Oryzias latipes: one gene and its partner. The protein of the gene in region 1 interacts with the protein of each later gene in a biochemical or structural test. Links are inferred from orthologs where the notes say so. Each region holds a gene or a part of one and is shown in the gene's direction. Other genes may lie near its edges.

Evidence for each region.
Region 2: of the proteins of coil (region 1) and vrk1, one has a biochemical effect on the other in vitro, tested with the Homo sapiens proteins (2 studies listed by BioGRID and IntAct, with this or other methods). The link is inferred for Oryzias latipes from reciprocal best matches to the Homo sapiens genes COIL and VRK1.

What each region holds. Positions count from the first base shown.
Region 1 is NC_019866.2:24,978,597-24,982,989, forward strand, and holds the start of coil (coilin), read left to right. Parts: upstream 1-1,343; 5' UTR 1,344-1,483; coding exon 1,484-1,734; intron 1,735-2,976; coding exon 2,977-3,817; intron 3,818-3,890; coding exon 3,891-3,980; intron 3,981-4,393. Other genes in the region: scpep1 (retinoid-inducible serine carboxypeptidase), read right to left, coding at 227-357, 538-595. UniProt on the Homo sapiens protein: Component of nuclear coiled bodies, also known as Cajal bodies or CBs, which are involved in the modification and assembly of nucleoplasmic snRNPs.
Region 2 is NC_019880.2:3,855,050-3,858,135, reverse strand, and holds part of vrk1 (serine/threonine-protein kinase VRK1), read left to right. Parts: intron 1-1,170; coding exon 1,171-1,263; intron 1,264-1,747; coding exon 1,748-1,880; intron 1,881-2,739; coding exon 2,740-2,860; intron 2,861-2,964; coding exon 2,965-3,023; intron 3,024-3,086. UniProt on the Homo sapiens protein: Serine/threonine kinase involved in the regulation of key cellular processes including the cell cycle, nuclear condensation, transcription regulation, and DNA damage response.

The sequences.
Region 1 (4,393 bases):
TCCAGCAGAAGTCAGACTGCAGAACCTGGACAATAGATCCTCCATGGATTCTACTTTTCTCTATTTTAGTTCATGCACTTCCTTGTAGATTCAAAGTGCTGATGGAAATGTTTCCCTCCTCTCATCTTCATCACCAGCAGAACAGCTTCAGCCCACAGATCAAGACCCTTGAGCTCAGGTCATCTCTGCTCGTGTCAGCTTCAGACACGCACGCACACGCACGCACCTGCAGCCACATGACCAGCGGGAGCTCCCGGAACCCAGCGTCGGCGTGATAGAGCCACCAGAACATGTGGGCCCCGTCCCTCACCTCCACGTAGTTCCACGCCTCTTTGGGTGGCGGGGGCGCGCACAGCCCTGCGGACAGACAGGTGAGAAGCAAATACCCTGACGAGCATGCGCACACCGACAGAAACCGAGGTTACTTTCGTTTGACAGTCATCGGATTTACTGAAGCGAGGACAAGTCCAGAGATGAAAGGATCTGGAGGCGGGAGAAGAAGTGATGAAGAAGTTCTGCTCGACCCACGGAACTCACCATCACGGACGAGCACAGCGGACGCGCAGAGCCAGAAAAGCACCACGGAGCCGCACATTTTTGCTGCAAACTGGCGGAGAGGGACTTCACCGATGACGAGTCACGTGACCAAAAGTCACATGACCACGCCCAGGAGTCAGCTGATCGGCTGACTCCGATTTTTTGAGTTTTTTAAAAACAAGAAAACAGACAGAAAAAAAGAAGATCCTAAGTTTCTGAAACATCAAAATTTTAAAAGAATTTTTCTCATTGTGAGATTTTTTTTTTCATTCCAAAATTCCCCGAAGGTCACTGAGGTCACGGACCATGGTTTCCACGGCAACCATCTGCAGTCAGTTATCCATCACCTAGTGCTGTAAAGTGTCTCTGTCTGTCTACATTGTGCTAACAGTAAGGTTTGGTGGTGGGAGGATCATGGTGTGGGTTTATGTATAGTTTCAGAAGCTAGGCTTAAGGCTTGGCTCCTTACTTTCAGTGAAAATAACTCTTTGTGCTTCATCAATCCAAAACCCCTTGGACAATTCCACTATCACAAGAGTCTGAACAAAGGAGGGACCAAATGTTTTCAAACAGCATTTTAGAAATCTGCGCCTGATTTGCCACGATTGAATCCTGGTGATCCTCATGATGCCCTCCATCATGAGAGAAAGGCTAAAAGAACATGCTAAAAAAACAACAACACGATTTTATCCTGAGTGGGTCTTTGACCTGGATGAAGAATTATTGAGATCCAGGCCTCCTTGTCCAAACTCTGAACAGAACAGTTAAAAATCCTTGTAAATCTCCCTAAAGAGCCCCGTGAATTATTATGGGATGCTGTTTTAATTTTAAACGAGTGAAAAGGCAGATGGGATACACTCCGGACCGGCAGAGGGCAGTGTCGTGACAAAAGCAGCGCTTTATCCTCTGCGCATGCGCGGGGCGGCGTGTTGTCGCGGAGGGTGTCATGGCGGCGCTCGGAGACAGCTTGATCCGCCTGCGGCTGCTCTTTGACTACCCCCCTCCGGCCGTGGCGGGGTGCCGCATGTGCTGGCTGCTCGTGGACCGGAACGCGTGTCGCGTGGTGGCGGACCTGGAGGGTCTGATCCGGCAGAAGTTCGAGTTCAGCCGCGGGAGCGTCCTCAGCCTGTTCGTGGAGGACTGCTACCTTCCGCACACGGAGAGCATCTTCGTCGTGCGCGACAACGACAGCGTCAGGTGCGCGCGCATCCCACACACAGCGGGGTCCTGATGTGCCGGTGTCGTTTCCGAAACGGTTCGAGCCTGCAGGCTGACACCACAGATATCCGGACCTGAAGGACTTAAGGCCCAATCCGATCATTTTAGTCTGTTTTCAAAGTGTTCCCAGTGATCTTAATGTTTTTAGACAAATTATTTCAAAAAGTTCATCAGAAATTCACCTCTGACTTGTGGGCGGGACTGTGGCGCAGAAGTAACCCTCCACTGATGTCCCATCATCCCCTAGTTTACACTCTCTCCCACTAGCTTACAGCCCCAACCCAACGTTAGCGGTGCAACCAAAACAGCAGCAACATCAGATCCATCCGTCCGTCCAGTTCTGACCCAGATTCCAGCTCAGACCAGGAAAACAAAGACCTTCATGGATCTGTCGGTCTGCAGGTGGAGGATCAGAACCATTGACTGAATATGAGAACTGGACTGAGTGGCCCCGCCCCCTGGCATTCCAAACAGGAAGTGGCTCTCAGAAACTAAAATCCCACAGACTTGAGAAATAAACAGCTGTTAGTCATTCATTCTATTGGTCAGTAAAAACATTCTGGATCTGATACTTTTATTTAAACATGTTTTTGTTAATCCTCTTTTATTCATGATATATTTTTCTGTAAATCAAGTTCTAAACTGACCAATCAGATGCTTCAACAAAGGTAGGCGGAGCCTCCTTGCCACCCACATCAAATGGTCAAAACATTTGATTGACACGTTTTCCAGAGCCCGCTCTCAAGTGGAAGGGGTGTGGACCTCTAACAAGCTCACTCCTGATTGGTGATACTGGTTGCCATAGAAACATTGACTCGGACTGACCAATCACTGCTTCTTGATGTTGTCTGGCTCCAACATGGCGGTGTTCGTTTAGCAACAACAAGAATGGGGACTGCACTGACTTCATTTGGTTGGAGCTGGAAGTCGTTTTCAATGGATGACGTCACACTGGCTCGGTCCAATTCTAAAGAATCAGTCAATGGTTCTAATGGGCCTTGGTTGATCAAGATGCAGTTTGGGGAAATGTACACACAGACACCACGGAGGCCATTTTTCTATTACTGCCTGAGGCCTGTGCGGTCTGAGATGAAGCTCGAGCCTTTCTTCTTCCTCTGACTATGAACGCTCTCTTCAGCGTGGGTTTGGGGGGGGGGGTTTACATTGTAGAACGGGTCGGTTCTGGATGCGTTTCATGCAGAAATGTTTCTTGTTCTGCAGGGTGAATGTGGACTGTGTGGCTGCGCTGAACGGCTGCAGCAGCTGCGCAGACGCAGAAGGAGTCAAAAGCAAAAAGAGACGGAGAGACGGGGGGGAGGAGGGGCAGCTGGCTGAAAACAAGAAGAAGAAGAAGAAGAAGAAGAAGAAGAAACGAGAGGAGGGGGAGGCCGGAAGGAGCAAGCAGGAGACGGTTGACAGGAGGGAGGCGTCTCCGGGGAGGAGCAGCAAGAAGAAAAGGAAAAAGGAGGGGGAGAAAAGTAACACTGTTGCTCCTACACCTGCTGCCCCCCCCAGAAAAAACCCGCCCAGTGCCCCCCCATCAGCTGGAAGCAACAAGAAGAAGGCCCCAGCCAAAACGCAGAGTTCCTCCACAGAGTCCAGCAGCGAGGAAAGCAACTGCCCCAAAAGAACTGCCGCAAGGACGGCGCCCCCCACCCCTGCTGCTTCCAAAACGCCCCCAAACACCAAGCCCCCCCAGAAGAACACACGGCCTCCCTCTTCATCGTCCTCAGAAACAGACTCTGATGGAAGTACCCCCACCCCCAAATGCCCAGAAGCTCCGTCAGCGCTGAAACAGACAGATGTGGTCCAGGCAGCCCCCCCTCAGGACAAAGGGGCGGAGCCTGCTGATGCTGGGAGTGAGGAAGAGATCCAGCTGGTCATCCGACGGCCGCAGCAGCCTAACAGACACGCGGACGGCCTCTGGTCACGGCGCGGCGGCGGCAGGGGGGCGCGTGGAGGTGCTGGGGGGGCAGCAGGCCGGGGCCTCAGCGGTCAGAACAGTGACAAAGAGCCCCCCCTCCAGGCGCGTTCCCCGACCAACACGCCACCGCTCCTCCAGGTCAGTCCCCGCCCCTTTTCTCTTACGCTGCAGACGGAGGAAACGTCTGAATCTGGTGCTTGTGTGTCTGCAGAATGGAGCCGGGGGCCCCCCCACACGGGACTACAGCTCCATGCCCCTGCTGGCCGCTCCTGCACAGCCGGGGCAAAGGATCGCTTTCAAGGTGAGGTCCGTCCTCCAACGTCACAAACATCTGACTGCTGAGGGGCTCCGCTTGGATTTAGAAACATCCCAAACAAAAGTTTAAACCTCAAACGTCCAGAAATCTGACAACTGATGACAGAATTTACCAGAGTGGAGAACAGCAGCTCCAGCTTCAGCTGCTCCAGCTTCAGCTGCTCCAGCTTCTGCTGCTCCAGCTGCTGCTGCTCCAGCTTCAGCTGCTCCAGCTGCTGCTGCTCCAGCTTCAGCTGCTCCAGCTGCTGCTGCTCCAGCTGCTGCTGCTCCAGCTTCAGCTGCTTAAGGTCTAGCTGCTCCAGCTTCAGCTGCTCCAGCTGCTGCTGCTCCAGCTTCAGCTGCTTAAGCTCTAGCTGCTCCAGCTGCTGCTGCTCCAGCTTCAGCTGCTCCAGCTGCTGC
Region 2 (3,086 bases), on another chromosome or scaffold:
CTCTGGCTCGTCTCTGCTCTGTACCTGACCGTTTACCTCGTCTCTGCTCCTGCTCCTACACCTGGCTGTGGATCCTGCCTCTGGCTCATCTCTGGCTCGTCTCTGCTCTGTACCTGACCGTTTACCTCGTCTCTGCTCCTGCTCCTACACGTGGCTGTGGTTCCTGTCTCCGGCTCGACTCGCGCCTTTGACTGTCCCCACAACCACGGCTGGATGAAGCTCGTCTGCTGGACTTTTATATATGTAGTTGTAGATTTAGATAAGTTAATTCTTCTCTAAGATTTCTGGTAAATCGCCTGTCCGTCCTGGGGGAGGATCCCTCCTTCATGTGGGCACCCCTGAGGTTTCTTCGTTTTTTCCGGAATCCGGTTTTTTTGGGAGTTTTTCCTTACCGCGAAGGGCGGTCTAAGGGCAGGGATGCCAGTATAGCTTAGTCAGTTTGTTAGTTCATTTTAGTATTTTTCTATTGAACTCTTTGTATTCGTGATCCTTTTGATTTCATGTTTTACTTCGAAGCCCATCGAGACGACTGTTGTTGTGATTTTGGGCTATACAAATAAAATTGAATTGAATTGAATTGAATAGTTGTGGATCTGCCAAAACTTCCAGGTAGGGTTAAAAAACGAGAACAACAAACTTTAAAAACAGCGATTACTTGTATTCTCTTTTTACGTTCACCCAGCTACTCCGGTTTTCCCGGTTAGCCTTGAATGAAGATCTTTTAAAGCATTATGCCAATTGTTTAGCATGTAGAATTAAACATGTAAAACTTTGAAGCAGTTTCCTTCTCTGTGAAGTCTGACGCTGGGAAACCTGAACGAGACTTGAACACGCTACGACAGCTCCAGCTGCAGCTACAGCATCTCTGCTGCAGCTACAACAGCTCCAGCTGCAGCTACGACAGCTCCAGCCGCAGCTACAGCATCTCTGCTGCAGCTACAACAGCTCCAGCTGCAGCTACGACAGCTCCAGCTGCAGCTACGACAGCTCCAGCTGCAGCTACAGCATCTCTGCTGCAGCTACGACAGCTCCAGCTGCAGCTACGACAGCTCCAGCTGCAGCTACGACAGCTCCAGCTGCAGCTACAGCATCTCTGCTGCCATCTAGTGTTTGTTTGTCTATAGCAAGACAATAAACGAGATGTGGTTGAACTCTCCTGTGTGTTTTCAGCTGGACATTTTGGAGTTCATCCACGAGCATGAGTACGTGCACGCCGACGTCAAAGCGTCCAACCTCATGCTGAGCCACAGTGACCCCAACCAGGTCAGTTCATGTGGGGAAACCCCCGGCCTTCAGCTCTGCTGCTGGAAGCCGGGATGGATGAAGGTTTTGGTTGAAGCTCCCTCATTCCGCTTCATTAGACTCTATTCTAACCTGCTGTGTGTGGGTGTAGGTGTGTGTCTAAAGATTAGAAAGCAGCAGAGGTTTTTTTATTTTTGTATTATTTTTAGCAAACACAATTGGAACAGGCGCGGGTATTTAATTTGGAGATTAATAATGGATTGTTTGTGTTGTTTTTAAATGACACTATAAAAATGAGCCCTCAGGATTCTATGCTTAATTGTCCTCTGTTTTGTTTTTTTGTTTCTGTTGATGGACTGTAGCTGTGTCACTTATTTAAGCCAGAAAGAATCTAGACTGAGCAAAGATTTCGAGTCCAAAAAGAACTTGTGGTTCTGGAAGTTGTCCGTTCTTCTCGTTGATCACAGCGGGTTCATCTGGTTTCCCGGTTCTGCTGGCTGTGCAGGTTTATCTGGTAGATTACGGCCTGGCATACAGATACGCTCCTGATGGCGTCCTGAAAGAGTACAAGGAGGATCCCAAGAAATGCCACGATGGAACCATAGAGTTCACCAGCATCGATGCCCACAAAGGAGTCGGTGCGTACGAGTCCGCTCTGAAACTCAGATCCACTTACTGACTGTAATATGATTAAACTCATATCCTGAATGAAACCCAGCCGTGGAAATGAGCGAATCCAATCATTTTAGACACAATAAGATCAGGCCGAGGAGAAAATCTGACCTTTTTGGATGTAAACATCTCCTTTGCCAAAAGCCCAAATATAACTACAATGTGGAAAAAAGAGAGTTTATTTCTATGTTAAAGAAATATAAAACACGAAATGTAAAAACAGGATTGATGCTAAAGTTATACTTTTTGTTGCTGTTTTACATTTTGAGTTAAAACCGATTGTTGAGATTTTCTGGAATCACAGTCAAAGTGTTTTTCTAAACTCAGAAATGAAACAAAGACAGTCAATATTGTTAGTGCAGAAAGTCGAACCGGTTCTTGGAAAGCTCTCATTCACAATGGGCTGCACGATGTGAGGAAAACTCGCGATGTACGACATTAATGATCAACATTGCGATGATGACATAACTTTTGATGCATGTACAAATACCAAAACAACCAAAAACAGAAAATGCAACAATTTAATTTGAATAAGAGTCAAAATACCTTAATTTACACTCCAAATGACCCTCGTCTACATAAGAGGCAAACATCTAACATGAAGGCTCCGTCTGATTGGTCAAACGCATAAATGGATTTATTCAACTCATTAAACACTTCAAGCTGCCATCAGATTAAAGGTTCGGCATTTATTGTGATTTTCGCCGTATTTTGCGTTATGGACATCGCAATAACGACAAATTTGCGATTTATTGTACAGGCCTAGCTCAGAATCTTGTTACTCGTGCTCATGGTTCAGCTCCTCACGTCTTGGTTCGTCTGCAGCTCCTTGCAGGCGGGGCGACTTGGAGATCCTGTCCTACTGCATGGTTCAGTGGCTGTGCGGACGTCTGCCTTGGGAGGACAAGCTCCAAGACCCCGTCTACGTCAGAGACTCCAAGATCAGGTGGAGCGCCGGCGCCGCTTCACGCGGGGCGTCCCAGATGTCAACTGATCTGTGTTCAGGTGGAAGTAAACAGCTGCTCTCTGTGTGTTTTTTTTCTCCCACAGGAGTCAAGAAAACATCTCAGAGTTTATGTCCAAGTGTTTTTCCTCTCAAGAGAAACCCGGTAAGAGACGAACAATGCACGCCGGGGTGGGTTGGCACCTTCCTCCTGCTCAGACAGAGAAAA